Linked DNA regions of Lonchura striata. The protein of the gene in region 1 purifies or fractionates together with the protein of each later gene. This does not show direct contact. Links are inferred from orthologs where the notes say so. Each region holds a gene or a part of one and is shown on either strand. Other genes may lie near its edges.

What was found.
Region 2: the proteins of ECSIT (region 1) and TIMMDC1 purify together in Homo sapiens (affinity purification with mass spectrometry; 3 studies listed by BioGRID and IntAct, counting the BioPlex papers as one, with this or other methods). This does not show direct contact. The link is inferred for Lonchura striata from reciprocal best matches to the Homo sapiens genes ECSIT and TIMMDC1.

The regions. Positions count from the first base shown.
Region 1 is NC_134623.1:1,327,755-1,344,195, forward strand, and holds ECSIT (evolutionarily conserved signaling intermediate in Toll pathway, mitochondrial), read left to right. Parts: upstream 1-8,129; coding exon 8,130-8,192; intron 8,193-8,742; coding exon 8,743-8,962; intron 8,963-9,283; coding exon 9,284-9,682; intron 9,683-10,857; coding exon 10,858-11,078; intron 11,079-11,960; coding exon 11,961-12,015; intron 12,016-12,856; coding exon 12,857-13,005; intron 13,006-13,874; coding exon 13,875-13,977; intron 13,978-14,049; coding exon 14,050-14,426; downstream 14,427-16,441. Other genes in the region: ELOF1 (transcription elongation factor 1 homolog), read left to right, coding at 504-619, 868-938, 1,027-1,091; CNN1 (calponin-1), read right to left, coding at 2,254-2,490, 3,327-3,473, 3,555-3,665, 4,250-4,387, 4,477-4,543, 4,926-4,960; ZNF653 (zinc finger protein 653), read left to right, coding at 15,675-15,967.
Region 2 is NC_134604.1:14,292,763-14,308,519, reverse strand, and holds the start of TIMMDC1 (complex I assembly factor TIMMDC1, mitochondrial), read right to left. Parts: upstream 6,818-15,757; 5' UTR 6,799-6,817; coding exon 6,707-6,798; intron 6,601-6,706; coding exon 6,435-6,600; intron 5,286-6,434; coding exon 5,197-5,285; intron 3,196-5,196; coding exon 3,128-3,195; intron 2,273-3,127; coding exon 2,194-2,272; intron 1,204-2,193; coding exon 1,093-1,203; intron 706-1,092; coding exon 606-705; 3' UTR 1-605. Other genes in the region: POGLUT1 (protein O-glucosyltransferase 1), read right to left, coding at 9,070-9,226, 9,844-9,900, 10,413-10,580, 12,376-12,434, 13,218-13,317, 14,307-14,366.

The DNA.
Region 1 (16,441 bases):
CCCCGCCCGGTTGCCCCGTGCCGCCAATAAAGGCTTTGAAGGGCGCCGCCGGACCCGAAACCACCGCGATTCACCCCAAAACCGCGATGGGCGGGGTCCGGCAGGGCTGGCCACGCCTCCCACCCGTTGATTGGCTGAAATGCGCGTCCATCACTCACTGAGTGGGCGGGACAGAGTCTCTCGGTTCGCCGCTGGTGATTGGCTGGGGCGCTGTTCTTATCAACCAATGAGCGGGGCGTTTTCGGGTCACGTGGGGAAGAGCGCGCCGTTCCCGCCGCTGATTGGCTGAGGGCGGAGGGGCGGCACTTCCGGGATCGCGGCGGGAGCGCGGCGTGAGGACCGGGAGGGACCGGGGGGCACCGGGGGGCACCGGGGGAGGGTCCAGCCGTCCTCGGCACGTCCCGCAGCGGGTCGGGGCCACTCCGAGCCGGCTCCCGGGGCCGATCCCGGTGTGGTTCCCCTTCCCGAGGCCGTTCCCGGTTCTGGGCTCCGGTGCGGCCGCCATGGGCCGCCGCAAGTCGAAGCGAAAGCCGCCGCCCAAGAAGAAGATGACGGGGACGCTGGAGACGCAGTTCACGTGTCCCTTCTGCAACCACGAGAAGTCCTGCGACGTCAAGATGTGAGCGCGGGACACCGGGCACCGGGGGGACACCGGGGGGCACCGGGGACGGGACACGGGGATGGGCGGCAGCGCGGGAAGAACGACGGAGAAACCCGGGGGGGAAGCGGAGAGCGGAGACATGGACGAGGACACCGGGCGGGGGTGCCGGTACCGCGGAGGGGACACCGGGCGAGGGGACACCGGGAGTGTGGCGGGGGGGATCGGGACGGAGCCCGGAGGGGTCACGCCCGTCCCGTGCCTCGCAGGGACCGCGCCCGGAACACCGGGGTGATCTCGTGCACCGTGTGCCTGGAGGAGTTCCAGACCCCCATCACCTGTATCCTTACCGGGACCCCCCTCGGGACACCCCCGGGACCCCTCCGGGACCCCCCGAGTCGGTGTTGGAGCCTTAACGGCGCCGCCAGACCTGTCGGAGCCCGTGGACGTTTACAGTGACTGGATCGACGCCTGCGAAGCCGCCAACCAGTGACCCCGGGGGGGCGGCGGGGACACCGCCCGCTCCCCAAACTCCCGGCGGGGTCAGGGACCCCCCCCCGGGCCCGGTGACAGCCCCGGAGCCGGTGCGGGGGTGGCATCCCCCCCTCCCCCCGCGTCCGGCACTTGTCCTCGTCCCCGTGGGGACACCGGGGCGGGGGGCGACGCGTTTGGGGACAGCGGCCCCGGAATAAATGCCCCGAGTGGTGGCCCTGGTCCTCCCTGTCCCTTTGTCCCCCATTGTCCACCCCATCCCCGCCGCCCCGGTGTCCCCCCGGTGTCCCCCGGTGTCCCCCGGTGTCCCCCAGCACGGTCCCACGGCGCTGTCACCTCTGCGTGTGGCTTTTATTGTGCCTCGGTGGCTTCACACGTGGCGGGGCCCGAACCCCCCGGGGCCGAACCGGGGACCAAACCCGGGGGTGATCCCGGGACTGAACCCGGGGCCAGCCCAGCCCTGGCCCCGCCCGGGGCCGGTCCCGGGATTGTCCCACCGGGGCCGGTGCCGAGTGCTGCCCCCCCACCCCGGGAGCCATCGCGGGGCCGATCCCGGGGCCGGTTTCCCCTGGGATTAATCCCGGGGCCGGTTTCCCCTGGGGCAATCCCGGGGCTGGTTTCCCCCAGGGCCGATCCTGGGGCCGTTTTCCCCTGAGATCGATTCTGGGGTGGATTCCAGGGCCGGTTTCCCCCGGGGCCGGTCCCCCCGGTGCCAGCCCCGGGGTCGGTTCCCCTGCGATCGATCCCAGAGCTGATCCCGGGGACAGTTTCCCCCAGTGCCAACCCCGGGGCCGATCCCAGGGCCGGTTTCCCCCGGTGCCAGCCTCAGTGCTAGCCACGGGGCCGGTCCCCCCGGTGCCAGCCCCAGGGCCGATTTCGGTGCCGGTTTCCCCTGAGATCGATCCCAGAGCTGATCCCGGGGCCGGTTTCCCCCAGTGCCAGCCCCGGGGCCGGTTCCCCCGGGGCTGATCCTGGAGCCGATCCCGGGGTTGGTTTCCCCGGGGCCGATCCTGGAGCCGATCCCGGGGCCGGTGCCCCCGGGGCCGATCCTGGAGCCGATCCCGGGGCCGGTGCCCCCGGTGCCAGCCCCGGTGGCGGCTCGGCGGGGCGCGGTGAGGCCGGTGACGAGCGGTGTTGGGGTGCAAGCGGCCGCGGGCCGGCGGCTACTGGGAGTTGTAGAGGCCGTCGTGGCCGTCGAGGCCGTCGTGGCCCAGCAGCTCGGGGCCGCCGCAGTACTTGGGGTCGTAGACCTGGCGCGGCAGGCCGTACACCGTCATGCCCTGCTGCGAGGCGCCCTTGTTGCTGCCCATCTGCAGCCCGATGGTCAGCGTGTCGCAGTGCTCCATGCCCAGCGCCGGCTCGAAGATCTGCCGCTTCGTCCCCGGCGCCGTCATCCCCGCCTGGCCGGCGGGAACGGGCTCCGGTCAGGGACGGGATCGGGGCAGGGACGGGATCGGGGCAGGGACGGGATCGGGACGGGGACGGGCTCGGGGCAGGGATGGGATCAGGGCAGGAACTGGCTCCAGTCAGGAACGGGCTCGGGGCAGGAACCGGCTCCGGTCAGGGACCGGCTCGGGCGGTGGCCGCGGGCACCCCGAGGGGCTCACAGCCACCCCGGGGCTGTGGGGGGATGCTCGGGGGTTCCTCCGTTCTGCTCCCCGTGCTGCCCGCAGGGTGTCTGTCCCCTCCCTGTCCCCAGAGTCCCTCTGTGCCCCCCTCAGAGCCCCTTTGTCCCCTGCTCCGCTGTCCCCGGGGCTGCCTGGGCCACCGGCCGGGCCGGTGGCACCTCAGGGTCCCCGGCTCTGTCTGTCCCCGCTGCCCGCGGGCTCTCCGCTCCCTTTGTCCCCCTAACCCGGGACATCCAAGTCCCCTGGTGCCATCTCTCCCTGTGTCCCCATGCGGTGGCAGTGTCCCCCCATGGTGGCAATGTCCCTGTAGGGTGGCAGTGTCCCCATGGGGTGGCAGTGTCCCCCCATGGTGGCAATGTCCCTGTAGGATGGCACTGTCCCCGTGGAGTGGTAGTGTCCCCGTGTCCCCCGTGCTGGCAGTGTCCCCATGGAGTGGCAGTGTCCCCTGTGCTGGCAGTGTCCCCATGTCCCCATGTCCCCCCATGCTGGCAGTGTCCCTGTGGAGTGGCAGTGTCCCCATGTCCCCGTGTCCCCCATGCTGGCAGTGTCCCCATGGAGTGGCAGTGTCCCCGTGTCCCCCCATGCTGGCAGTGTCCCCGTGTCCCCACCTGGCTGGCGCCTTTGTTGGTGCCCATCTGGAGGCTGATGGTGGCCTGGTCCAGGGGCTGGTCCGTGCCCAGTTTGGGGTCGTACAGGTGCCGCCGTGTCCCGTACGCCGTCATGCCCTGCTGGCTGGCGAACTTGTTGGTGCCCATCTGGGGACAGCGACGGCCACGGTGTCACCAGCTGTCCCCAGCACGCCCCCCCCGTGTCCCCCCAGCGTCCCCGGGTGTCACCTGCAGCCCGATGATGTTCCTGCCCTCGCGCAGCTTCTCGGGGTGGAAGCGCCGCTGCTGCTTCTCGGCGTATTTCACCCCCAGCCCCACCTTGTTCCCCTTTGTCTTGGCCTGGCGGAGACCGTGGGCTTGGGGGGGGGCCTCACGGGGACCCCCGGACCCCAAATCCACTCCCCGGACCCCAAATCCCCTCCTTGGACTCCAAATTCCTTCCCCAGACCCCAAATTCCTTCCCTACACCCCAAATCCCCTCCCTGGACCCCAGATTCTTCCCCCAGACTCCAAATCCCCTCCTTGGACCCCAAATCCCCTCTCTGGACCCCAAACACCTTCCCCAGACCCCAAATCCCCTCCTTGGACCCCAAATCCCCTTTCTGGACCCCAAATCCCCTCCCCAGGCTGCAAATACCCTCCCTGGACCCCAGATTCTTCCCTCAGACTCCAAATCCCCTCCTTGGACCCCAAATCCCCTCTCTAGACCCCAAATCCCCTTCTCAGACCCCAAATACCCTCCCTGGACCCAAATCCCCTCCTTGGACCCCAAACCCCCTCCCCAGACCCCAAATCTCCTCTCCAGACCCCAAATCCCCGCTCTGGATCCCCCCCAGCGTGTGGCCGGTGTCCTCTGAGGGGACACGAGGACCCCCAGGAGCCCCCCGGACCCCCGGCCCCCCCCAGGACCCCCGGGAGCTGACCTGGCTGGCGAGGGCGATGAGCGTGGACTGGACCTGGGTGTGGTTGGTGTTCTCGAAGAGGTCGTTGGCCTCAAAGATGTCGTGGGGCTTCACCCCGTAGCGCGTGATGGCCCTCAGGAAGTTCCCGATGTTCTCCAGCTGCGGGCGGGGGGAGTCGGGGCGGGGTTCGGGGTCAGATCCTCCCCCCCAGAGCCGCCCCCAGCCCCGGTTTTGGGGGGTCCCCTCACCTTGTGCCAGTTCTGGACGGGTTCGTTCACCTTGGGCACCGAGCCCGGCTGCAGTTTGTTGATGAGCCTGGAGGGGCCGAGCACGGGTGGGGTCAGGGGGTGACCCCAGAGTGACCCCGGGGTGACCCCTGGGTGACCCCTGGGTGACCCCTGGGTGACCCCAGAGCCCGGCCAGGAGCGGGGTGTGGGGGACAGGCACGGCGGGGTTGGGGGGCTGTGCTCAGCAGGCTCGGGGTCAGCCCGGGTGAGGAATGGGTTAAAATTCACCCTCCGGACCGGGGCCGGTCCCAGCCCGCGGGGACAGAGCCGGGGACACAGCCGGGGTCCCAGCGGGGTCCCGGGGGTCGCACGGGGTCCCGGGGGTTCCAGCGGGGTCCCGGGGGTTGAACGGGGTCCCGGTGGGGGTCCCGGGGGTCGCACGGGGTCCCGGGGGTCGCACGGGGTCGTACTCGCAGAGGATGACGCCGTCCTTGAGCCCGTCCATGAAGTTGTCCCCGATCCGGCGCCCCGTGGTCCCCTCGATCCAGGCACGGAGCTCCCGCTCGTGCTGCGGGTCGTACTTCTGGGCCAGCTGCGGGGACAGGGACACGGGACATGGGGACATCGCCGGGGGGACACGGGACATGGGGACACGGGACACGGGACATGGGGACACCGCCGGGGGGACACGGGACATGGGGACACGGGGACACGGGACATGGGGACAGGGGACACGGGGACAGGGGACACGGGACACGGGGACACCGTCGGGGGGACAGGGGGACTCCGCCAGGGGGACGTGGTGGCACGGAGAATGTCGGGGACACCCTCACGGGGACGAGGGGACACGGGGGACATTGCGCCGAGGCCACGGAGGGTGCGGGGACACCGCGGGGGACACGGGGACACCGGCACGGGGACACAGACGGGGAACGTGGGGACACCCCAAGGAGGGACAATGGGGACACCCCAAGGAGGGGACACCCTAAGGAGGTGACAGTGGGGACACCCCAAGGATGTGACGTTGGAGACACCCCAAGGAGGGGACACTGGGGACACCCCAAGGCGGGGACACCCTCAGGGAAGAGGCGGCGGCCGCACTGGGGACGCGGGATCCCCGCTGGCCCCGGTTCCCCCGTTCCCGCGGGGCCGGAGGGAGCCGGGAGGGCCGGGGGAGCCCGGACCCCCCCCCGCCCCGCCCGGCCCCCCCGGGAGCCGCGGGCGACCGGGCCGGCCGAACCTTTGCCCATATATAGCCCCGGCCCGGGGCCGCCGCCGCCCGCCCGCCGCGCTCCGCCGCCTTATAAGGGCTCACGGCGGGGCCGGGGGCCGCCGGGCCCCCCCCGGGCCGCCGATCCCCCCCCGTTAACCCTTAACGGGCCGGTGCGCGGCGGGACCCCCCCCCCGCCGTGTCCATCCCCCCGCCGTGTCCGGTATCTCCCGCCCGCCGCGGGGCCCCCCCGGGCCACCCGAACCGCCCCCGTTAACCCTTAACGGGGCGGACACCGGCGGGACGCCACCCGGTGCTCGTGGGGGGCGTCCCGGGGTCCGCCCGCTCCGTTCCGGTGTCGCCCCGTGGCCTCCTCAGTCCCGGTGGGGGTTCCGGTGTCGCCGCCGCTTCAGCTCGGTGACCGTCACCTCCCGCCCGCCGCGGGCTCGGCGGTCGGCGGGGCTCCCCCGGTCCGCCGAGCCCACTCCGGGTTAACCCTTAACGGGCCGCACACCGGCGGGAGCCCCCGGTGCTCCCCGGTGCCGCCGTCCCCGTCCCCCGTCCCGGGGCGCACCCGGTGCCCGTCACCTCCCGCCCGCCGAGGGGACCGGGGGCTGCGGAGACCAACCCCCCCCCCCGCTCCCGGTTAACCCTGAACGGCCCGGTGCCCGGCAGGACCCCCCGGTGCTCACGGCGGGACCCCCCGGTGCTCACGGCGGGGAGCCCCGGTGTCGCCCCCTCCCCTCCCCTCCCTCACCCCCGCCGGGCACCCGGTGCCGGTCACCTCCCGCTTCCCGGAGGGAACGGGGAGTGCGGAGCTCCCCGGGCAGCCCAGCCGCACCCCCGGTGAAGCGGCGCTCGGTACGACCCCCGGGGGGGACACGCCGGTGCCGCCCCCCTGTCCCGGTGTCCGTCCCTTCCCTCCCGGGGCAGCACCAGGGACAGCGCCGGGTCCCGCCCGCGCTCCCGCCGGGTCCTGCCGCGACCCCTGCCCGGGCCCGGTGCTGCCGCCGCCCCGGGGGGGTCGCACCTGCCCGGAGCCGCCCGGACCCCCCCGGTTCGGCTCGGTTCGGTTCGGTTCGGTGCCGCTCACCTTGTTCTTCACCTCGGCCGAGAGCCCGTAGGCCGGGCCGCGGTTGAAGTGCGCGTTGGACATTTCGGGGGTCCCGGGGGGGTCTCGGTGGCTCCGGTGGGGTCGCGGCGGGCGGGTGGCGCCGGTTCGGGGCTGTCCCGGGTGGGTTCGGGGCTGTCCCGGGTGGGGTCGGTGCCCTCGGGTCGGCTCGGTGCCCTCGGTCGGTTCCTCCCGGTCCCGTCCCGGCGCCGCCGCCACTTTTAAAAGTGGGCGGTGGGCGCGGAGCCCCCCCGGGCCGGGGCGGCCGCAGCCAATCCGCGGCCTCCGCCGCGCTGACGTCACGGCGGGGCGGGTGATGGCGTCACTTTTTCCACATTTACCGGGGGGGATCCCGGAGCTGGGGGGGGGGGGCCGGGGGGGCGGGGGAATCCCGGAACGCCCCCCCCGCCCCAAATCAGCGCTTGCCCGCTCTGCCCCCTCCCACCGGACACCCGTGTCCCCCCCGGTCCCACCGGAGCGGGGACCCCCGGGGGGCACCGGGGCTCCCCCACGGTGCCTGGGGATCCCCCCCGGGGCACCGGGGGCCTCTTCCCCGCTCACCGGGACCCCCCCGGTGCCGCGGGACCCCCGGGACAGCGCGGCCCGACCCCGCCGCGCCCCCCCCCCGCTCGGTGCCGTCACCGGATCGGACTCCGCCGCCCCCCCGGGGGAGGACACGGCTCGTCACGGGTGGGGAATGTCCCCCTCCCCCTCCCGTCCCCCTCCCCTCCCCTCCCCCACCCGGGCCGTCCCGCCCCCCCCGCGGCTCCGGGACCCCCCCGGGGCTGGGGGAGCACCCGGGACCCCCCCACGGGGACTTGGGGACCCCCCCCCACCCCGCCGGGGCTGCCGTTCCCGTTCACCCGCTCTGACGTCATCGCTCACCCCCGTGACGTCACCGCCCGTCCCCGCGCTCATCCCGGGGTCCCGCTCTGACGTCACGGGGGAACCCCCTCCGAGCCCCGCCCCTCGCTGCCTGCCAATCACCGCGAAGCCGCGCGCCGATTGGCCGCGCCCGCAGGCCCCGCCCCCTGACCCGGCCGCGCGCGGTCACCGCGAAGATGGCGGCGCCCAGCGGCGCGACCGGGCACGGGGACGGCGGAGCCGGACCGGGAGCGGGCACGGCCCGGGCGTGAGCGGACACGGCCCGAGCGGGAGCGGACACAGCGGAACCCGAGCGGGAGCGGGCACGACCCCACCGTGAGCGGACACGGCCCGAGCGGAAGCGGACACGACCGAGCGGGAGCGGGCACGACCCCACCGTGAGCGGACACGGCCCGAGCGGGAGCGGACACGGCCGGACCGGGAGCGGACACGGTCCCACCGTGAGCGGACACGGCGGCAGCGGGCGCCATGCGGCCGGGATGGCTCCGGGCCCTGCCCCGCCGCCTCTGGGGCGGCCCCGCAGCGCCGCAGGTGCGGGGGACACCGGGAACACCGGGACAGAGGGGACGGGGGGGGCGGTGGGGACAGGGGGAAACGGGGGACATGGGGACAATGGGGGGACACGGGGGGACATGGGGACATGGGGGGACACGGGGGGACATGGGGACAATGGGGGACATGGGGGGACATGGGGACAATGGGGGGACATGGGGCCATGGGGGGACACGGGGGACACGGGAAGACACGGGGGGACATGGGGACATGGGGACATGGGGGGACACGGGGGGACATGGGGACAATGGGGGACATGGGGGGACATGGGGACAATGGGGGGACATGGGGCCATGGGGGGACACGGGGGACACGGGGAGAAATGGGGACATGGGGACAATGGGGGACATGGGGGGACATGGGGACAATGGGGGGACATGGGGACACGGGGGGACAATGGGGGGACACGGGGACAATGGGGGGACATGGGGCCATGGGGGGACATGGGGACACGGGGGGACAATGGGGACATGGGGACAATGGGGGGACATGGGGACAGCTGTGGGGTGACCCCTTTTTTCCTCCCCAGCTGTGCCGGAGCTTGTGCCAGCGCCCTGCACGTGTGCCCCCCGCGGAGGGTGGCACCTCTGGGGGTGACACCTCTGGGGGTGACACCTCGGGGGGTGACACCTCGGGGGGTGGCACCTCGGGGGGTGACACCCCGAGGACCTCAGAGTGGCATCGCCGCTTCCACAAGATCTGGGAGAACGACCCCCAGCCCCGGGGCCACCCCCAGAGCCCCGTGGGGGGTGACACCTCAGGGGGTGACACCTTGTGGGGTGACACCTCAGGGGGTGACACCTCAGGGAGAACCACCTCAAGGGGTGACACCTTCTGGGGTGACACTTCAAGGAGTGACACCTCAGGGGGTGCCACCTTAGGGGGTGCCACCTCAAGGGGTGACACCTCAAGGGGTGCCACCTCAACAGGTGACACCTGGGGTGACACTTCAGGGGGTGCCACCTCAGGGAGAGCCACCTCAAGGGGTGACACTTCATGGGGTGACACCTCGAGGGGTGACACCTCAGGGGGTGACACCTCAACAGGTGACACCTGGGGTGCCACTTCAGGGGGCGCCACCTCAGGGGGTGCCACCCCCAAGGCCCCTCTGCGCCACCTGCGCTCCTACAGATCGCGCCGCGAGGACGCCCACGGCGACGCCGCCGGTGACCGTGATGCCCACGGCGACCCCGGCGACCCCGGCGACCCCGGCGCGGCGTTCACGGCGGCGCTGGAGGAGCTGGCGCGGAGCCCGCCGGGGCGCGGTGGCCGGCTGGCGCTGGTGGAGGCGGCGCTGGCGGCGCTGCCGGCGCGCGGGGCCGGGCGCAGCCTGGCCGCCTACAAGGCGCTGCTGCGGCTGCTGCCGCGCGGGGCCTGGGTGCCGCGCGGAGCCGTGCAGCGCCTGCTCTTCCCCTTCCCGCGGCAGCAGGAGTGCGGCCTGCGCCTGCTCGAGTGCATGGAGCGCCACGGTGCGTGCTGGTGTGCCCCGGTGTGTCCCGGTGTGTCCCGGTGTCACTCGTGTGGTGTGCCCCAGTGTGCCCCGGTGTGTCCTGGTGTGTCCCGGTGTGTCCTGGTGTCACTCGTGTGGTGTGCCCCGGTGTGTCCTGGTGTGCCCCGGTGTGCCTCGGTGTGTCCTGCTGTGTCCCAGTGTGTCCTGGTGTGTCCTGGTCTGCCCCAGTGTGTCCTGGTGTCACTCGTGTGGTGTGCCCCGGTGTGTCCTGCTGTGTCCCAGTGTGTCCCAGTGTGTCCCAGTGTGTCCTGGTGTGTCCTGGTGTGTCCTGGTCTGCCCCGGTGTGTCCTGGTGTCACTCGTGTGGTGTGCCCCGGTGTGCCCCGGTGTGTCCTGGTGTGTCCCGGTGTGTCCTGGTGTGTCCTGTTGTGCCCTGGTGTGACTTGTGTGGTGTGTCCTGGTGTGTCCCGGTGTGTCCTGGTGTCACTCGTGGTGTGTCCCAGTGTGCCCCGGTGTGTCCCGGTGTGCCCTGGTGTGACTGGTGTGGTGTGCCTGGTGTGCCCCGGTGTGCCCCGGTGTGTCCCGGTGTGCCCCGGTGTGTCCTGGTGTGTCCCGGTGTGCCCTGGTGTGACTGGTGTGGTGTGCCTGGTGTGCCCCGGTGTGCCCCGGTGTGTCCCGGTGTGCCCCGGTGTGTCCCGGTGTGCCCTGGTGTGACTGGTGTGGTGTGCCTGGTGTGCCCCAGTGTGCCCCGGTGTCACTTGTGTGGTGTGCCCCGGTGTCCCCTGGTGTCCCTCACATGGTGTCCCCACTGTCCCCAGGCGTGATACCCGACGCCGAGACGCGCTTCCTGCTGCTGTCACCCCAATGTCCCCAGAGTGTCCCCAATGCCCCCCATGCCCCAATGCCCTGCTGTCCTCAGTGTCCCCAATGTTTCCGCACTGTCTCCATGTCCCCAGTGTCCCCAATGTCCCCACTGTCCCCGTGTCCCCAACGTCCCTGCTGTCCCCTGTCCCCAGGCGTGATGCCCAACGCTGAGACGCACATCCTGCTGCTGTCACCCCAATGTCCCTCCTGTCCCCAATGTCCCCAGTGTGTCCCCAATTTCTCTGCTGTCCCCAATATCCAATGCCCCCCATGCCCCAATGTGTCCCCGCTGTCCCCGTGTCCCCAATGTCCCCGTGTCCCCTGTCCCCAGGCGTGATGCCCGACGCCGAGACGCGCTTCCTGCTGCTGGGGGTGTTCGGGCCGCGCAGCCGCCCGCTGCGGAAGCTGCAGCGGATGCAGTTCTGGCTGCCGCGCCTGCGGCACCTGGACCCCCACCCGCTGCCGCCCCGGCTGCGCCCCGGGCTGGCGGCCGCGCGCCTCGGGCTGCAGCGCATCGCCACCGAGCCCGGCGCCACCGTCACCCTCGTCCAGGTGGGCTGGGGACACGGCTGGGGACACGGGGACACGGCTGGGGACACTGGGACAGGGCTGGGGACACTGGGGGGACAGGGCTGGGGATACTGGGGACACGGCTGGGGATACTGGGGACAGGGCTGGGGACACTGGGGACAGGGCTGGGGACACGGCTGGGGACACTGGGGACATTGGGTACACTGGGGACACGGGGACAGGGCTGGGGGATGGAGACAGGGCTGGGGACATGGGGGGACACGGCTGGGGACACTGGGGACAGGGTTGGGGGACACTGGGGACAGGGCTGGGGACAGGGCTGGGGACATTGGGGACATGGGGACAGGGCTGGGGACACTGGGGACACTGTGACAGGGCTGGGGACACTGGGGACACTGGGACAGGGCTGGGGACATTGGGGACATTGGGACAGGGCTGGGGACATTGGGGACATGGGGACAGGGCTGGGGACACTGGGGACACTGGGACAGGGCTGGGGACACGGGGACAAGGCTGGGGACATGGGGGGACACAGCTGGGGATACTGGGGACAGGGTTGGGGGACACTGGGGACAGGGCTGGGGACAGGGCTGGAGACACGGGGGACAAGGGGACAGGGCTGGGGACATGGGGACATGGCTGGGGGGACAGGGGAGGACAGGGACAGGGCTGGGGACACGGGGGGATGGGGCTGGGGGGACAGGGAGGACAGGGACACAGCTGGGGGGACAGGGCTGGGGACATGGGGGGACACGGCTTGGGGGGCAGGGGGTACAGGGACACGGCTGAGGGGACAGGGACAGGACTGGGGTGACAGGGACAGGACTGGGGACACAGGGGACATGGGGACAGGGTGGGGGGACAGGGGTGGCCCTGCAGTGACCCCCTGTCCCCGTCCCGCAGCGGCCGGTGCCGGAGTCGGGGGACGATGAAGGCTCCGTCCAGCCCTACATCCTCAGTGAGCTCCGGGGGTCTCGAGGGGCCTGGGGGGATGTTGGGGTGCCCTGGACGGGGGGTTGGTGTTGGGTTTGAGGGGGTTGGGGTTCCTGGGGTGGGTTTGGGGTGCCTGGGGTGGGTGTGGGGCTCCTCAGGGGTCTCTGTGAAGGATTTGGGATTCCTGGGGTGGGTGTGGGGTTCCTGGGGTGGGTGTGGGGCAGAGTCTGGGGTCCCTGGGGTGGGTCTGAGGTCCCTGGGGTGGGTTTGAGGCAGGGTTTGGGGTCCCTGGGGGTTTCTATGAGGGGTTTGGGGGAGGGTTTAGGGTGCCTAGGTTGGGTCTGAGGTCCCTGGGGTGGGTTTGGGGTTGTGTGGGGCAGGGTTTGGGGTGCCAGACTGTGGGGTGGGCTGTCCCCCGTGTCCCCCGTGTCCCCAGCCGTCCCCCCGTGTCCCCAGCCGTGTCCCCGTGTCCCCAGCCGTATCCCCGTGTCCCCAGCCGTGTCCCCAGCCATGTCCCCGTGTCCCCAGCCGTGCCCCCGTGTCCCCTGTGTCCCCAGCCGTGCCCCCGTGTCCCCAGCCGTGTCCCCAGCCGTGTCCCCAGCCGTGTCCCCAGCCGTGCCCCCGTGTCCCCAGCCGTGTCCCCAGCCGTCCCCCGTGTCCCCAGCCGTGCCCCCGTGTCCCCCGTGTCCCCAGCCATGTCCCTGTGTCCCCAGCCATGTCCCCGTGTCCCCAGCCGTGTCCCCGTGTCCCCCGTGTCCCCAGCCGTGTCCCCAGCCGTCCCCCCGTGTCCCCAGCCGTATCCCCGTGTCCCCAGCCGTGTCCCCAGCCATGTCCCCGTGTCCCCAGCCGTGTCCCCGTGTCCCCAGGCTCGCAGAGCCCCGAGCAGCGGGAGCTGCTGGCCCGGCACGGCCCCACCCGCCCGGTGTTCGTGGAGGGGCCGTTCCCGCTCTGGCTCCGCGGGACCCTCCTCAAATACTTTGTGCTGCGGGGAGACCCCCTGCCCCCCCACCTCAGGGTCAGCCGGGGGGCCCGGGGGGTCCTGGGGGGCTCTGGGGGTTCCTGAGGGGGTTCTGGAGGGTCCTGGGGGGTTCTGGGGGATCCTGAGGGGCTCGTCGGGGGTCCTGGGGGGCTCCTCGGGGGTACTTCGGGGGTTTTGGGGGACCCTGAGGGAGTCCTGAGGGGGCTCTGGGGGGGCCCTGGAGGGTCCTGAGGAGGTCCTGAAGGGTTTGTGGGGTCCTGAGGGGGTTTTGGGGGGTCGTGAGGGGGCTCTGGGGGGTCCTGAGGGGGTTTTGGGGGGTCCTGTGGGGTTCTGGGGGGGCTCTGGAGGGTCCTGAGGGGGTCCGGGGGGTTTTGGGGGGTCCTGGGGGGCCTCTGGAGGGTCCTGGGGGGTTTTGGGGGGTCGTGAGGGGGTTTTGGGGGGTCCTGGGGGGCCTCTGGAGTGGCTCTGGAGGGTCCTGAGGGGGTTCTGGGGGGTCCTGGGAGGTTCTGGGGGGTTCTGGAGGGACCTGAGGGGGTAGTGGGGGGTTTTGGGGGGTCCTGGGGGGCCTCTGGAGTGGCTCTGGAGGGTCCTGAGGGGGTTCTGGGGGGTCCTGGAAGGTTCTGGGGGGTTCTGCGGGGTTCTGGGGGGGCTCTGGAGGGTCATGAGGGGGTAGTGGGGGGTTTTGGGGGGTCCTGGGGGTTTTTGGGGGGTTCCCGGGGGCTCTGGGGGTTCCCGAGGGGCTCTGGGGGTTACTGGGAGTTCCTGGGGGGCTCCTGGGGAACTCCAGGACAGGTAGGACGGGCCCCCCAAAACCCAACACACCCGGGGCCCCTCCATGACCTGCGTGGGAAGACGACCCCAAACCCCCCAAAAAACCCCCCAAAACCCCCTCCCCAAACCCCCAGGACCCCCCGCCGGACCCCGAGCGCAGTTTTTACTTCCCGCTGCGCCTGGAGCTGGAGCTGGAGCGCGGCCCCTGGGACGACGAGGATTTCCAGGTGGACAGAGGTGAGCCCCGGGGGGATTTTGGGGGGTCGCGGGAGGATTTTTCGGGGCTCCCCCTGACCCCGCTGTCCGCAGTGGAGGAGGGCCCGGTGCTGGCGCTGTGCGTGGCGGGCGCGGGGGACCGGCGCACGCTGGGCCGGTGGCTGGCGGCGCTGCAGCGGCACAATCCTGCCCTGGGCCGGGTCCCGGTGCTCTTCCGCCTCACCGGGAGCGGGGCCGAGCCCCCCGAGGGACCCCCGCCCCCCGGCTGGGCGCGGGGACCCCCGGGGCCGCGGCGCTGGAGCCCCCCGAGGATGGGGGTGAGCCCCCGAGGAGCGCCGGGGAATAAAGGATGGACGGACGGAGTGCGGGTGCCGTTGTTTTTTGGGGGTGTCCTGGTTTTTTTGGGGGGTTTGCAGGTTTTTTGGGTGGTTTTTGGGGTGGTTTCGTGTTTTTTTGGGGGGGTGTTGTAGTTTTTTTGGAGGGTGTTGTGGCTTTTTGGGGGGGTTTCGTGGTTTTTTTCGGGGGGTGTAGTGGATTTTGGGGTTTTCATTTTTTTTTGGGATGTCGTGGGTTTTTTTGGGGGTGTCGTGGTTTTTTGGGGGGTGGCGTGGTTTTTAGGGGGGTATTGTGGCTTTTTTTGGGGGCGTTGTGGTTTTAGGGGTGGTGGCGTGGTTTTTTTTGGGGTATCATGGGTTTTTTTGGGGGTTGTCATGGTTTTTTGGGGGCTTTCATGTTTTTTTGGGGGGATGTGGTTTTTTTAGGGGTTTTGTGGTTTTTTTGGAGGTATCATGGTTTTTGGGCTGGGTTTCGTGGTTTTTTTGGGGGGGTGTCCTGTTTTTTTTGGGGGTCCCCAAAACGTGGTGGTGGCCGGGAGGATTTTGGGGGGTCATGGGGAAGGTTGGGGGTGCTGGGAGGGCGTTGCCCCCCTCAGCAGCGAGGCCCAGTTGGTTCTGGGGGAGTCTGGGGGGCTTTTGGGGGGTCCCCGGTGAGTTTGGGCGGCTTTTGGGGGTTCTGAGGGTCCCTTGGGGGGTCCTCAGTGGGTTCTGGGGGTTCCCTGGGGGGGGTCTTTGGTGAGTTTGGGGGTCCCTGGTGGGTTCTGGGCATCCCTGGAGGGGTCCCAGCTGAGTTTGGGGGGCATTTGGGGGGTTCCCTGGTAGGTTTTGGGGGTCCCTCATGCACGGCACCTCCACACCCCACACCTGGGGGGGTACCGGGCAGGGCTGGGAAATTCCGGGAATCCCTTTTTTTGGGCGGGTCTCCTCTTTTTTGGGCGGGTCTCCCCTTTTTTTGGAGGGGATCTCCACTTTTTTGGGTAGGATCTCCCATTTTTTTGGGTAGGATCTCCCCTTTTTTGGGGGGATTGCCCCTTTTTGGGGGGATCTCCCCTTTTTTGGGTAGGATCTCCCCTTTTTTTGGGGGGGATTGTCCCTTTTTGGGGGGGATCTCCCCTTTTCTGGGGGGGTCTCCCCTTTTTCTCCTCGGGACCCCTCCAAAAAATGCCCCAAAAAAACCAAAACAAAAAAACCCAAACAAAACAAAACAACAAAAAACAAGAAAAACAACCCACCAAAAAAAGCCAAACTCAAAAAAAAAGACCCCAAAAAAGAACCCAAAAACCCCAGGGCGGGCGGGAGTACGGGCAGGCCGCGCCGCGCATGCGCACTGAGCGCCGCGACGCCGCGGCGCGCTCCGCTGACGTCATCGCGGCGCGCCGCGGCATGAGCGCGGCCGAGCGCGGCGCCGGCGGGCCCGGGGCTCCCGGTGGGCCCGGGGCTCCCGCGGCTCCCGAGCCCGGCGGGGGCCGCAGGACGCGGGGCCGGCCGCGCCTCACCGACACCGACCGCGCCCGGCGGCGCCTGGAGTCGCGCAAGAAGTACGACGTGCGGCGGGTGTACCTGGGAGAGGCGCACGGGCCCTGGGTGGAGCTGCGGCGCCGCAGCGGATGGAGCGACGCCAAGCTGGCGGCGTACCTGCTGGGGCTGGAGCGGGGACAGCGCGCCGGGCGGCGCGGGTGAGCGCCGGGGGACCGGGGAGAACCGCGGGGAACCGGGGAGGACCGCGGGAACCGGGAGGGAACCGGGGAGAATCGCGGGGGGGACCGGGAGGGAACCAGGGAGGAACGGGGAGAACTGGGGAGAACCACGGGGGACCGAGAAAGAACCCGGGAGGACCGCGGGGAACCGGCGAGGACCGCGGGGAACCGGCGAGGAAGCGGGGAGAAGCGTGGGAACCGGGAGGGAACCGGGGAGAATCGCGGGGGGTACCGGGAGGGAACCAGGGAGGAACGGGGAGAACTGGGGAGAACCACGGGGGACCGAGAAAGAACCCGGGAGGACCGCGGGGAACCAGGGAGAAGCGGGGGGGAAGCGGGGAGAACCGGGATAAACCGGCGGGGGACCGGCGGGGAACCGGGGAGAAGCGTGGGAACCGGGAGGGAACCGGGGAGGAACGGGGAGAACTGGGGAGAACCACGGGGGACCGAGAA
Region 2 (15,757 bases), on another chromosome or scaffold:
TTCCACTGTCACCACCAGAAATAAGCCATGTTTCCTGTGGCACCCTCAGGCCTCTATTGAAGAACCCAAAACATGCCTTTTTCAGGGTATTTCCATGTAATTCCCAACTCCTCCACCCTTCTTCCACACTGACTGCAAAATACCCCAAGTACTGTAGGAGCCAAGTAAGAAACCACCATCAGCAAGTTCTTCAGGCACTGTCTGAAGAGCAGCTTTCACCAGGGCATAATGAACTTTTGGATTCAGGGCACCTTTAGCACACAAACCATTGGTAGGCTCCTTTACCTCGAATATTTCTACATCACTGGTGGTTTGGACATTTTCAGCAGTGAAATGGGTTCTAGATGAGGCTCTGGAACCCTCACATCTTCCCAAAGCTACATGACACTTCCTGGTCTGTAAAGTTTGCATTTCCATCTTCTCAGGTGGAACAGGTTTGGCCCTTCCAAGCTCTTTGTGCAGTGATACCCACCCCTGAACAATGTTTTCAGCCAAACACGTTTTCACTGCATCCACAGACAACTCCCATGATCCCTCAACTGAAGGCTTTTACAAGCTGGATCAAAATTCTACGTAACTTCTTACAACTGAAATCTGGGGAAGACTCAGTAGCTCTTCAATTCTCTTGCTCTCTCCATCTCTGGTCTTCCCTGGGCATTGCTTTCTGTTTGGCCTAAGATTTCAGTCATACTGAGCCTGGATTGCCTAAGGAGAGAAGAGAGAGTGAAAAGCAATTTAATGCCTGCATTCTCCTGACAGAGACATGAGTGCAGAATCCAAGCTCTTGAAAATTTCTTCTAGAACTAGTGAGTTTCAGTAATTCACATGACCAGTGTCATGACCTTTTTTCCCACAAGCCTTCAGCTATCCTCCTTTCCTCACTTTAATAGGGATGGAAAGAAGGCAGCAATAAAGGAAAAGACCGGGAAGACTAAATCAGCATTTCTAAGACTGGTATGTGAACAACACCAACAACCAAGAGAAGAACTGAGGTTTAGAAAACCTAGTGTGTCATGGTTTCTCTAAATGTTTGAACCCACAGGCCCAGATACCCTCGCAGTCCACGACTGAAGGGACAGAGCTGCTCCTCACCACTCTGCCAGCTTCTGCTCATGCAGCTCCCTGCGCTCACGACTCCTCTTCTCCTGCAAGGTCTCACCAGCCAAGCCATACATGGCCATGAGGAGGCCTCCTGCAGGAACCCTGAAGGAGGAAGCAGAGAAATCACCAGTCACCCAGGGGACACACAACAGCAATAACTTACTGGCATCAGCAGAAAGAGCAAGCAGGGGCCTAAAACTCACATCACACCACAAACTAAGGTACTCCTGTTCTCCTGTCACCCACCAAGAACAGCCTTTCTTCAGCTGTGACCCACCAGAGCCCTGCTGATAGCATATTTTGAATTTACTCATTGACAGGCACACACAGGACAAAGGAGTGGAAGGATTTATGGTTCCCAGTGCAGACCCTGTAGAACACCTAAACCATATCTCAGACAGTGACACCCCTGCTCAGCTTCCATCCAGTTCTGGAAGTACTTGTGTTCTCACTGGTAAAGCTCCCTAGGCTGCTTTCTGGCATGCTCACAGCTGACACCATCCTGATGGTGCCAAGCAGCACAAATAACTCATTCTCTTTTTCAGGTAGGATCCTCAGATTTACTTGTGAGGATATTTACAGGTCAGAACTTTGAGAAGAAATCCCAGTCCTGCTTGAAAAGTCAGATTTCTTCTGAGTTAGAGGTCTAGAAGCACAGAGCCTCTGAAACAGAACCTTGGGATCCTCCATGCCCCAGGAACTTCAGGAGATTCATGACTGCAAGACACACATGAAGACACACACAGAGACACGTGTCACCTTACAGCCCAGCCATGCATCTACTCCATCCCTACTCCCTGTTTCCTAATGGCTGCTACTTCCCATTTGAGCTTTGGTGGAGCTTATGTTGTTCCCTCTAATAAGCAAACAGCAGCAAATAAGATGGTCTGCTGAAAGGACTGAGCTCTCACTACTGAGAGAGCAGCAAAACACAAAACAAGAAACATAGAAGAAAAGAAGAACAATTAAAAGGTTGGGAGAAAAGTGATCACCATGAGGGATACAGAAAATCCCTCAAGGCAAGAGAAGAAGGGAAGCTCCTGTAGCCCCTCTGTGACTCCAGGCTCAGTGTGTGCAGCAGTCACAACTCACCCAAATGCTGTTCCAAACACGATGCCACCCACCAGGCCCTGCAGGCCCAAGTGCATCCTGAACAGGGCTCCTGTGAAGCCTAAAAGAAGAACAAACCCACTGAAACTAGAAACAGCCTTGCCACAGACATTCAAACCAACATAGGAAGTTGCTTTGTTGCATTTCTCTTCTCCACGAGCTGACAGCTGCTTTTAACAGAGCAGAAACCAAGTGCCATGGCCAGTGGGACAGACCTTCACCACACAGTCACCATGGTCTCTGCACTGAAACTGCACAAAGCTCCTTCTGCTTCAGAAAAACTGCCAAACTTTTTCCCATATCATAGATGTATCTATGAAAGTGAAACCAAGCTCTCTGTAGGCTGGAGCATGATCTCCCTCACCCTTTTTTCTGTTCAACAACAGCTAATAATAGCAGCTGCCATGTAAGGCAGAAAGGATCAGTAAAAAGTGTATCCAGCTGTACAGGCAATAAAGCCTGTAAAACTTAACAAGCAGATCACTTACCCTGTTGCCAAAAGTGGGCATGCAAAACTTAGCATAGAAAGGGCAGCCTATAAACAGTGTGCTGGATTGTTACCAAGAGTGGAAATAAAAAAGGCTTTCCCTGTTAAATAGGTGCTTATGTGAACAGGTTATGCACCAAGTGTTGCCTTTACCCCACAGAAGCATTTTTCACCCAAAATACTCCAGCAAGTATCTTGAAGATGAACTAAGAACCACAAAACTCCCCAATGGTTTCAGCAGTGCATCGGTATCTGTGTTACAAATAAAGGCACGCAGCAGGCAAACAACAGAGCAAAGTCAGTGGAACAAGCAGCAAAACCCAAGAGCACAGAAGCTGCTCAATCCCAAGGGATGTGGATACTTGCTTATGCTTTTCTGCTACAACCCTTGCTAACAAACAGGAGCACACAAGGTTACAGCACTCTTACCTCCTGCTGCAGCAAAATTACTGATGGTGGTTTTATCGCGGTACGCAGACAGGCCCGTGCTCACCACGCTGCAAAGGCAAGGCACAGAAGTCAGCAGTGCACATGGAAAAAGAGAGGTAGCAAAACACAGCCTGAAATAAAGCTGGATTTCGTTAAGCCAGCCCTCAGGTTGCCCATCTGTTCAGGGCACCCCACTCCAGCCATGACTTCTCTGACTTTACTGTGGGCAGCTGCACAGACACAGGTCAGGGAATATCAGAGTTCCTGAACTGGATCTGAGATACTCTTTCTTTTTTTTAATCAAAGATTTTTCTTTCCTATCATATAGAATCAAAGAATCAGAATGGTTTAGTTTGGACATGATGTTAAAGATCATCCAGTTCCAAGCCCTCACTGCAGGCAGGGGCACCTTCCACCTGGAGCAGGTTGCCCAGAGCTCCATTCAGCCTGGCCTTGAATACCTCCAGGGATGGGGCATCCACAGCTTCTCTGAACTACCTGTTCTACTGCCTAGGACCATGTAATACAGTCAAGGAGAAAAGAATTTGAGCAATGAAAAGGTCCCATCAGTCAGCCAGTCCTGATGTAGGACATTTACCCCAGAAGCTGCTCCATGTGTCAGTAAGATCCTGCCCTGTAAACAGTCCCCAATACAACAGCCTATGTCACACTCATGACATCAGCAGGGTCACCTACTCTTGTGGCATCAGATTTCCCTCTGGGGTAGGTAAACCAACTCCTCCTAAACATCAGCTAAGCCTCAAAACAGTCTGCTCTCAGTTCAGCAGCCACATACTCCCCAGCCTCCTGTGTGACATTGACAAGCCAGCAGCAATCCTCCTCTCCTTCCCAACACAGATAAACCCAAACATTTTGGGTTTTAATTGTGAAACTTAAAGTTTTCACAACTGCAGGATGGAATTTGCAACTTGGGCTTTACAGAAATGATGCTGAGCAGCAAATAGCTTTGTTCAGAACCTTTCCAAAGGGGCTGATCTGACTGCAGAGGAGACACCTGGTGGAAGACAACAAGGTAACATGTCAAACCCAAAGAAATCCAGAAAACCCAAAGAAATCAAGAGCTCCAGGAGAGAAAGCAAACAGCACACTAACTAAGCCTAAAAACAGATACTAAACTAAAAGGAGCCACAGACATCAAGAGACAGTGAGGAAGAAATTCAGAAAGGAACAAAAAAAAATTAGGGAGATAGAAATATAAAATCATGCCAGTCAATATTGTGGGATCTTAAAAGCAGAAGGAGAACTTAAACAGAACATATCTGCAGAGAGAGTCAATGCAGGTTTAAATTTACAAATTTAGTAGTCTGAACAACAGGGAAGGAGATATTTCTAGTTTAAAAGGGCTTTGCTCAGAAGACGACACTTAGTTTGATGTTCTACTGCCAGAAATGCACTGCAACATCCAAGGAAGAAAATCAGGGAAGCAGAACACTCTCTGCATTGGCTTTGTGTGTGTAGAAAAATCCTGAAGGCCTAACAGGTACATAGAAGCAGTAGATCTGATATTCAGCAACTGCTCAAGAACAAGACAATCCCCTGCAAATGCCTGAGGACAAGAACAAAGAATTGTAACACCAGTGTATACAAAGTAGTAGTAGTGACAATTGTGAGTACCACCAGCGTATACAAACCAGGAGCAATGAGACATTGTAGGAAGGACAAAAATCAGTGTGGGTTAGAAAGCACTTCCAAAAACTGCCAACACACTTTAACACTCCCTCAGATTAAAAGCACATAAAGAGATGAAGGAAAAGCAGAAAGCAGCTGTCAAGAAAGAAAAGCATGCAACTCAGTAACAGATGTACAAAAAGGGCTTTTCCACATTTCAGATTTGTGTTGATTCATTAGAAGATGAGAATTCTGAGGCAATTCTAAAAGGTTAAACTCTCTTCATGCTCCTGCCTGATCAACCAGACTCAGGTCAAGGTAACAGCAGGAGCCTCAATCAAAGGCCAGAGCTGTGGGCACTGCTGGCAGGGACAAGGACAAGGACAAGGACAAGCACCAGCACAGGGCAGCTCTGCTGCCCCACATCAGGGAACACTCACTTGAACATGGTGGCGAAAGCCGCGACCCTCCAGCTCCAGCGCCAGCCGTAGCGGATGAAGCTGCGGAGACCAGCGCGGTGTGCAGATTGCTGAGGGGACAGAGAGGACATGTCACAGCTAACAGCCCCTCCTCCTGCCAGCACCCTGCAGGCCAGCCCAGGGGACCAATGTCTCCTGCCGCTGGTACCCCAGCTCCGATCAAGTCAGCCACCTTTGGAGGAAAAGCTGCTCCCAGCCACCAACGGGAAAACCAAGAATCAGTTCCAGTTTGGAATGTCAACTGGTCTTTCTAATCCTGCTGCTGAAACACGTCTGGGTGGACTGGGAGGGCTCTTCAAGGACAGGACAGCAGCAGAGGAGAAAGAGAAAAACTAGAAACTACTTCATATAGAAAGTAGTTTCTACAATAGTAGTAAGTAAATAATAACCATCTGCGTTAAATATTAAGGTATCATCAAGCTCTGCAGTTTAACACTGGCACTTAAAAGTTTGGAAAGAAGAGTTTTTTTTAAAATAAGTGGTAAACAGAGGCTTCATAAAATTTAAAAATGTTGCACTGAATACCATGAAAGTAAATAAATTTTCTCTTCCAGTGTTTGTGGTGTAGGTTCTTAGCCTGGGTCAGATATACCAGTCACCAGAGCGGAGCCAGGCAGTGGCAATTTGCAGGTCACCACATCAGAGGCCAAATTTTGTAAGTAATACAAAATTAACATCAGGCAGATTTTTAAAAAGGTTTTCTTCCTCATATTCCACGTAACCAACACTTTAATTGAATAACAAACACCTAGAAGTTCAAATACATCTACAAAATGTCACAAGTGTTCTTTGTTGTGCTGTTCTTCTAAAAGAATTTTAAATGGTCTAAAAATGACTCACATTAATAAGACAAGAGTACAATCCCAGTTTGATACTGTGAAGTCTCCTGTCAGCAGACTAAAACGCAAAAGCAGAAAGCCATTTCGAGACGTATTAATCAGCCACTTAAGAGAATGGTAAACTTTGTTACCAACCTTCCCTGTGATGAACGACGCTTTTCTGAAGCTAATTTGCAATTTGGCTAACGGGGAACCCTAATTCCTGCTAATTCCCGCAGCGGATGACCTGCACGGACTCACACACTCCCAGCAAACTTTCTGTGCCAGACCCGCACACGCGTCCCCCCGGCCCGAGCCCGGCCCCGGCCCCGCCCGAGCCCGGCACCGCCGTGCGCCCCGGCCGCAGCCCCGGGCCCGTACCACGGCATCGGCGCGGTTCTGGAACATCTCGCCGTGGCTGCTCTCGATGAAGGCCTTGCGGGCGCTGACGAAGGCGGGCAGCCCCCCGTACAGCCAGCCCACCACGCCCGCCGTGAACGCCGCCTTGGCGATGTTCACCGTCTCCTCCGGCAACTGCTGCCGCTCGCTGCAAGGCAAGGGCGGCGATGGGCGCGGGGTGGGCACGGCGGGACCGCCACCACCCAGCCCCGCCCGTCCCGCCCCGTCCCGCCCGAGCCCGGCCCGGCGCTCACTCTCGCCGCCAGAGCTCGCGGAGCCGCTCCCAGCCCGTCTGCGGCAGCGGCGCGGGGCCGAAGCCCGCCCGGGCTCCGGGCAGATCCGCCATGGCCGAGCCCGCGGCGGCGGCGGCAGCGCCCCCTGCGCCCCGGCGGGGCACTGCGAGGACGGCTCGGGACCGCTCGGAACCGCTCGGAACGGCTCGGAACAGCTCGGGACCGCTCGGAACGGCTCGGCTCTGCGTTAGTCACTGATGAACAACTCCGAGTGTTTGCCCCTTTGTGCAGGGCCGGGTTTGTTCCCCACAGCGAGAGAGGAGCTGAGTTCTGGGGGCTGTGGTGCCCGGTTTGCATAGGACAGAGGGGGAGCAACCCCCGGGCAAAGCCTGCGTGGAGAGATGGCGCCACTCATGGGGCTCACTGCCTTTCCTGAAACACCTCTGTTGTGAATTCTTCCTTTCACCAAAGAAGTGAAAGCTCCCCACCAGGAGAGGTGCCTGGGCCTTCCCACCGGGCTTGTGCATATTTTAACCCATGATTCTTGAATTCCCGGGATTCTTCCCCCACTCCTGAAGAATCATCACTTTGGCCAAGGGCCACCTAAGCTGCAACAATCAAGTGTCATCGCAAGATCTATGGGTGGAAAAGCTGGGGCTCTGCAGACCTCCTATCACTCTTCTGATGAAGAAAATGCATCCAACAAAACTTCATTTTTTGTTTTATTCCAAAAAGCCCTTCATTACAAATGGTTTTAAAATATCATACAGAGATGTTCGGTTTCTTGGAGTGCTGTCTCTCTGTTGGCTAAAAATAGAAAACCAGAAAACCCCTTCCACTCTGGCACAACTTTCCTGGGAAACCAGGTTAATGCCCCATTCTGTTTCCTTTGCTGGATGAAATAACCCCAGCACTGGTCCCAAAACCAACACACTGCCCCAGCAACCAGCACTTGATCAATAGTGCAGCTGCTATGTCCCTGTGCCAGGGCTGCAAGGCCTCTGCGAGGGCACACATTAAATGTTATTGTTCCATGCAATTTCCTTCTTCCCTGATACACACTGACTGCAGAGGGCCTGAGAGCTGTTGCTATCATCCTCTTCCATTATAATGTGCTGCTCTCTCAGCCTTGAGGCTGCTTTACCAACAAGGAGGCTCCCCTGGGAGGCTCCTGTGTCCCTCCTGGCACCCCACACTCTTCCTGTCTGGGTGCCAGAGAAGATGCTGCTGCCTCCAGCCTCTTATCTTAGGGGGCACAGAGCATTTCAGGAATTGCAGTCCTTAGCCAAGAGGCTGTGGTGGGCATAAACACAGCGAGCACAATCAGCCTGTGAGCAACTCAAAATGGGTAATGTGAGCAGTAGCTGCTACTGTGTGACTGAAGACATTCCCTCAACCAGGCTGAAGGAGATGAAAAAAGAAGTGGCACAGATGTGGGGAAGAAAAGCAAGTAGTAAAGTGAGCAGATGTATTACCAGTCTCAAAAAAAAAAAGGCCACCCCCCCCCCAAAAAAAAAACAAAAACAAAAAAAAAAAACCAAACCAAAAAAAAAAAAACAAACACTTAAAATAATCCTGGAAAGATTACAGAAGGGGATCAGAGCAGACTCTGCACTTCTGGAAAAAGGAAGTGCTGAATCTACCTCAGTGAATACTTTCTCTGGGTTCCTAAGGATGACATCCCAGGATGTCTGGCCAGGCAGCTGGTGAGAGATAATTAACAGGGGCTCAGTTGTGCAGGGCTGTGCAGGCACCCAGCTCATCTGCTGGAGGAAGAATCTCTGTCTCAGTTGCCAAGCACATCACTGGTGATGGCCCCATCACCACCGTATGCTGATCCCCTGTGAGGTAGGTAGGGTAACTCTGCAAGGATCAGTTATCCTCCAAGGGCATGTCAAAACCTTACCATCGACCTCTAAAACCCAACATAAACCCTAAGCTACCCAGAAAGTTATATAGCCCCAAATCCCAGTACCTGCGTTTGTCAGAGAACACCTAATACCCCAAGTGCTATCACCCAGCTGAGAAAACATTTGCCAAACAAAGGGGCAAGTATTTACTAGCTGAGTGCAGCTCAGCCTGTGTCCTTTGCCATGACCTTTGGTAATAAGTCCACTAAGGCTTCTCATCGACTGAATGGGATTTAGGATCATTTTGAGACAGGTAGTAACTAAGTCCTAAATGCTAACATCCCTCCTCTAGGCATGACTGACCACCCCATTAGTCTTAATCCAATATGCTGCTTAACATTCTTGAGGTGACAATATAACCAGGTCCCAGTGCAGTTCTACTGTGAAAGGTAAGTCTGAGAGAGCAAGAAATAATACTGATCTTCAGATTTCCACAGTGACCAGTTTGAGCCAGAGAGAAAAACAGAGAAGTCTCTACAGTTCTGTTTTCAGCTGTCCAGAAGTGATCTCGCTGTAGCTTTTCCTCCTTTTCACTTTGTAAGTCAAGATCTGGGAATATTCAGACAGCAGATGCTCCCAGTAGCAAGAGATGTCCTCCATCTCCAAGTGCTCAGTGATGAACTGACGTCCCCTAGAGACACACAAGTCACAGTCAGGACTGTTTTCCAGTTCCTACAAGAGTCATTAGTTTTGGTTTGGATGTATATCAACTTTCGCATTTCCTTGTTTCAAATGAGAAACAACACACACTGCTCTGTACTGTCTGTTTTAATTTTACAATTTTCATTCATGCTCACAGCTCTGACGGCTGCAGTGCTTTTGCTATCCTCAGGACGGTATTTGCTATCTGGGATAATAAATATCAGATTCCACTTATCACATGCAACTAGAGCAGCCCTGATGCATGCTGCTTCAGAGCAGCCTGGATAGATAATGTTTACAGCGCAGACACAGCTCCCAGGAGCCAGCTTGTGTCATACTGAGATGAAAGCTCCCAACCTCTGCCAGCTTTCCATGGGGTTCCTGACATGGGTCACATGTGAACTGAAGAGCTAAGCACAGCATCCTGCTCTCTGCTTCCCTCTGCTTGCTATCACTGCTCCAGCCCTCCTACTCTTATTGCAGAAGATCAGTTATACTGCACCCTACTAATACTGGTTGTCTTTGATGGGCAACCCCTTCAAAAGCAGTGTAAGACAATGTTTTAGAAGAAGACTGCCTAATAGCCAGGAAGCACATACTGCTTACCTCTCTGAAATTTCTTGTGCTATGGCATCGTTTTCCTTTACAAACTGCAAGAGCTCCCTAAAATGAAGACACATACACAGAAAAAAAAAAAAAAAGCTATGAAACAACTGGCTCAGTGGAGAACATAATCCCTTAGCTAAATTGTTGGGGAGGGTGAGGTTAAGAGTCTACAAGTGAGTGAAAGAGCTGCTCACCTCAGCACAGAAGCAACTTCTCTGCTTGATTGTTTCACATCACTTCTGGACAACTTCCTGAAATCTGGGAGCTAACACATTTTTGGCCCACTGGTTAAGTTCTTCTCCCCCCTTATCACTGTTGCCCACTTGCAAATTTAAGTGTCTAGTGCCTGCTGATTTCAGTGAGAGTGAGAATCTTACTCCAGTGTAACTGCACTCCCCAAATCAGCAAAGGATTCTCTGGGGGTAGTGATGAAAAGACCATGACCTCCAAAAATCTTTGCCTGATGCCTCAGAGTGGAGGCACTTCATGGCCTAACACAAACCATCCCACCTTCCCAAAGGCTTCCCCATGGTATGCAATGCTCCATGCAGTGGCCTCAGGCCCCACACCTGACGTCAGAGAGGTCTGACCGCACCGGGATGTAGTGGAGCCAAGGCTTCAGCTGGGGGTAGAAGAACTCCAACCACTCCTCTCCGACATGGAAGACGAGTGAGCCGCACAGGAAAAGGTGCTTCAAGCGGAAACTGGCCGCCACTCCCCGGAAATTAAACAGGTACCTTTGAAAGGAAGAGCAAAGAGAGGGACCTGATCACACATCCTGTGTGAGGAAATGCACTAAGGTGTGCTGGTCTCCAAGGAGCGGTGAACCTTCCCTGACAGGCAGCAGCTGAGCAGCACACCAGTCACTAAAACAGAGGAAAGGCATTTATTTGAAGCTGCTCACAGGAAAGGTGAGCTGAAGTTAAGGGTGTGCTGGGTGAGTTTCTGCTGTCAAAACTCACTGAGAAATTCAAGGTGTGAGGCTTTACCTCTGATAAAGGCACTGTCTGTGACAAACCAATGAGGCCTTGTGGACAATTGCCAGCAAAGCATGGAAGATCACAATATGGATTCCGTGACCCTATGGGGTCACTCAGAGGCTTTATCAACCACAAGGAAATTCTTTCCAATTCTCTCTTGCCTTTCAGTGAAGTTTTTCTGTTCATCATTGTGCTTTGCCACATCTATCTCAGGTTATTTTTTCCTCTGGGATTCTGCTTTAATCTGAATGTAATTGTTTCATAGTAACTTGGGAATGCAACCATAGGAGGTTAAATGGGCCAGCATACAACAGATGGACTTTGCAGATAACGAAGAATCCAAAAGTTTGTTTTCAGTATTTTCTGCCAAGTTAGAAAAGTGGGCTTGACTGTGGCAAGGGGGTATTTCTCTTAGCAAACTGTATCTCATAGGGATGTTTCTTTGCTTACTTGTTTTCTTGATCAAACCCACATTTCTTCTATTATATAGAAAGCTGTTTTTCCTACGGGTAAACCTCCCCAGAACATATACTGATCTTTGAAGTTAAACATTTTGAGCCGGGGGAAGAGAGTTCTTCCTTTAATGAAGCTATTTTGGGTGGAGCTTATATATTAGATATATTTAGGGCAAGATGGGAATTACAGCTAAACTTAGCACAGCAGTAAATAACAAGGAGTAAATCTGAAATTACTTTGCATCCTTTGTACTACCTAGGATTTCAAAACAAGGACAAGGAGCACACTGTATTAGGAACTCAACAAATACATGTAGAGATGCAACAAGAATGATGGCCTGGAAGCAAGCAATTACCTTTGCCCAATTCCAGACACAGCTCCCACCATCCATGACCTCAGCCAAGCCAGCCTGCTGTAACACCTACACTGAAAGCAGCAGACAAAAGTTGGTGTTGACCCTACCTCCCTGAGCTACAACAAAAGTGTGTGAGAAGGTCTCAGCCTACACCATATGATGGGCTGGGGAGCGACAGAGTTGGGCGGTGTACGTGTAACAGAAGGGAGAAATCTGTGCTACAGTCTAGTGAAATACAAAATAAGACAAGTCAATCACATTTGCACAAAAACACAGATTCAGCCAAATGACTGAGCTCTTATATCAGCAGATCCTGGCTGGCTGAATGACAACTAGCAGAAGAAAAAGCAAAACATCTTATACACAAGTGCACACACACTAAGAGTTTATATTGTAAATGGAAACCTGTAAGTGTTACACCAAAAAACCCTCATTAAGTAGTTAAAGAATAAAAACCTTTGTAAATCAAAACCACATTCTCCTAAACAACATAAAAAGTATGAATTAATACTAGGTGTGCTCAATCAGATTTCAGGTTCTCTCTTTTACTATATACACCCAGTGGCAGCACTTGTCATGCTAAACTCACAAATTTTCAACTGTCTTATATCTGCTCACAAGCTTTCATATCTACATGAAGCTGGTTGTTGAATTAGACCTTAAAATAAAATGAGACCCTATACCATGCAAGGAAAGACTAACCCACAGCCCTTGAAAAGCTTTACTAATCAAAACTCTTACTTGTATTTGCAGTGATCAACCAGTGGAATTTCCTTTGCAGGAGGCTTTCCTAAGGTATCCTTAAAATAAAGAGAAATTAAAACCAAAACAAAACAGTAAGCTTCAAATAATGATTTAACTTGTTTTCCTTCTCAGTTAGAAACAAAGGTGATGTGTCAAAACCTTCCATTCCCACTTCTGAGAAAACCTTCTCTGGTGGGCTGTTAGAAGGATTATAAAGAATTCCCAGCCCTTCAAACATGAAAAAAAGCTCAGTAAATTACACACTGCCTGTAAGTGAATGCCAGCACAAACACATTAAATGATAATGTTTTGTTGGCAGCTACAGAGTGGAAAACAGCTTGGGACAATGAACTGTGTGAAGCCAAGTGTAACTGGATTAGCCAAGACTGTCTGGAGAGAGCTGGACTGTAGACTAAGTAAGAAACGAAAAAGTTATCAGCAACAGTTATCACAAAGTTATCCACAATGAGATCAAGAAATGGAGAAAACAGAAAAAGGCTTGAAGACTGACAACACCAGAGAGGCGGCTCAGAGACAGAAGGGGAAGGGTTGGCCAATTTTGTTGTTGTGGGAGAGGAGGAGATTGGCAGAGATTCATTTTCTTATGTGTTTTCCTTTCCTTGAACAACAAGCATGGAAGGAAGTGTTTGGCCTGCCAGGCTCTAGAGACTCTTTTCTTTCATCTGTTAGAGGTGCAGCCATCAAGGAACTACAAACCTCCCCCACTCTAAAGGATCACCCACAACTCTCCAACAAGATGTTTGTCTCCCATCAAAGCCATCTTGCAATGCCACCTTTTCTGGCCTTCACACTCAGAAGACAGACTAACACCCACACACCTTTTCAGATTTCCAAGCCTGGTTTTTAGTGTACTCAGCATCAACAAGTTCTGGGTTTTCTCGGGACAGCAGGATGAGGGGATCTCTCTCAGGGCTTGTTCTGAAAAAGAAACGTTATCACTACTTGCTAATCCCCATGACTCAACACAGCTAACAGACTACAGGACTTGAGGCACTGCTTCTTTCTGAGGCTGACCTCCCTGTGTGCCCCCAAAACACTATGAAGTGTGTACCACAGTGTATTTCTGCCCAAGGGTATATTAACAGAAGAAAATGAGTTATGGGTACCAGAAGTATTTGACTGACTACATATTTAACAGTATTATTTAAACAATTCCCAAGACAAATCCTGCTTCCTTTATCCTGAAGGGTGCCAAATACTCTGACTCCCACCTAAGTCAGAGAGAGTTAAGAGATGCTCAGTATCTTCAGCAGTGATCCCTCTAACAGGACTTTAAAACACTGCTGATAAACAAGGTTATTACATCCTTGTGAGACATTCCCCATCACCTGCTGAGCCTACCTGGAAAGCCACCAAATCCTTCCCTATTGGGGAAGGGGAAGAAACAAAGTGTGGAGCTTAGCATTGTTTCAAACTACCACTGGAGAAAGGTCAAAAAAAATATTCTCTTATCTCCCACTACTTGGGTAACTTAGGGCCAGAATACTTTTCATTCAGTGTGGAGCACTGGCAGAGCAAATAAAGCATTCATATTGGCAGGATGCATGAATAGCAATACTAAATCTTTAAATTTGTATCAAGCACCTGCAGTTCCCTTCACAGAACAAAACAAGTGGGCTCCTGAGGTGACAGTTTTAGTCATTAAGAAATAATGTGGCAAATCTATCACAACTTCTGTTTCCAGTATTAGGTGATTAAAATAAACTAGTTGCAAATGGCAGTTCTTCTGGAGAATAACTAATAGTGCAATACTGTATAACATGTCTCACTTTCCTTACTTTTGGAAAATACACTGTGAGGTGCACTTAATTAGAGTTTAGGTCTAGGAGACATGGAAATTTCTACATATAGAGAGCTGTCACAGCCCCTGTTGGTAGAATCTTCTGTTGCAGGAAAAAAATGCTCACCTGGATCCTCGGAAATATCCCTTAGAGATTTTTTTCTTCCATGGCCATTTTTCTGCAGATCTGAAAATATTTTTTATACATGGTAATAAATTATTTAATATAACCATGAAACAACACTCTCATCAGCTTTCACAGCATGATGTCTTCTTCTATTCTTCATTTTTGATGGAAATAACTTTCTTCATTATAGCACACAAAAACTCTCAGCCAGGTCCAATGAAACAGGTTTTCCTGTAAATATTGTGTTTCAGGCAACCTAATACAGACTACTTTCCAGAACACCTTTCAGGCAAAACAATGTATTACACACAGCTCCCTACCAAACCTTGAAGAGTATTAAAAGTTTACCTAATCCACTTCTTGTGCTGTGGCTTTATTTTGCTATAGTTCACTGAATATGGATAGTGAAAAAATGACTACAGAGTTTCTAATCAGTCATTTCCCACTACAAAACAAAAACTACCAATCAAGAAACAAAAAACACACGTAGTGTTTTGCACTTAAAGCACAAGAGTTCATTGTTTTTATTATTCACTTTCATTTTAAATCAAATCAAGTCCTTCAAGATAGCTGTTCACCTAGGGTTTTTTTCTGCCAGTGCAGTCACCTGCCTCACCACTTCTCAGGGGAACTCTGCCATATTTTTCTACTGCACCTGGTGGAACATGCAGGTCCTTACCCTCAAGCTGATCTGCCTGTGCAGGTCAAGTTTTGCTTTTCCTTATAGTGAAAACACAAGCTTTGCACCTCCATTACACTACAACACATTAAGCTTTAGCTATGAATAATCATGTGGATCTTCAGATTTTGAAGAATGAAAGATTCAACCTTGCATTTGGACGTCAATTACATAGAAGTATTTTATTGATATTTTGTTTCTGTGTTCACTCACTGTTGCATACTTGCTTTGTCACTTTCCATGGGAATCAGCCCCTTACTCTGCTAATAAATCAAAACATCCTGCCAAAAGGAAGACCTCCAGCCAGATATGTCTTCTGTTTAGCCCAGTGGTGACTTTTGATTCCTAGGAATGATTCCGGGTTTTTGTATTGCACAATGACACTAAAGTAAAAGCAGATCTAAAGAAGGCTTTCCTTTAGCCTTCCAATAGCTTATACAAACATCCTGGATCATCCCTGCAGTAAAAAAACCACAGCTCCTAGAGAAGTAGTTGAAAAGAAAGAAAAATATTTCTGTATGTCAGGGGAGATTTCTGCAGGCAAAAGATAACTGCTACTTTATTGACAAACCTGCTCTCCCCAAACCTGATAGTAATCTGGCCCTGACAGCATGAAGGATGTGCACAGTTTGTCCTCTGCATTCCTTACTAAAGGGTTGCAAACAGAGGAGCTAATTATAACTTCCAGTGACATCATGCAAGGTTTCCATGGAGAATTCCCATACAGCAGTTAGGCTGTAGGTAGTTAATGTGAGGCAGCAGGACAGATCAC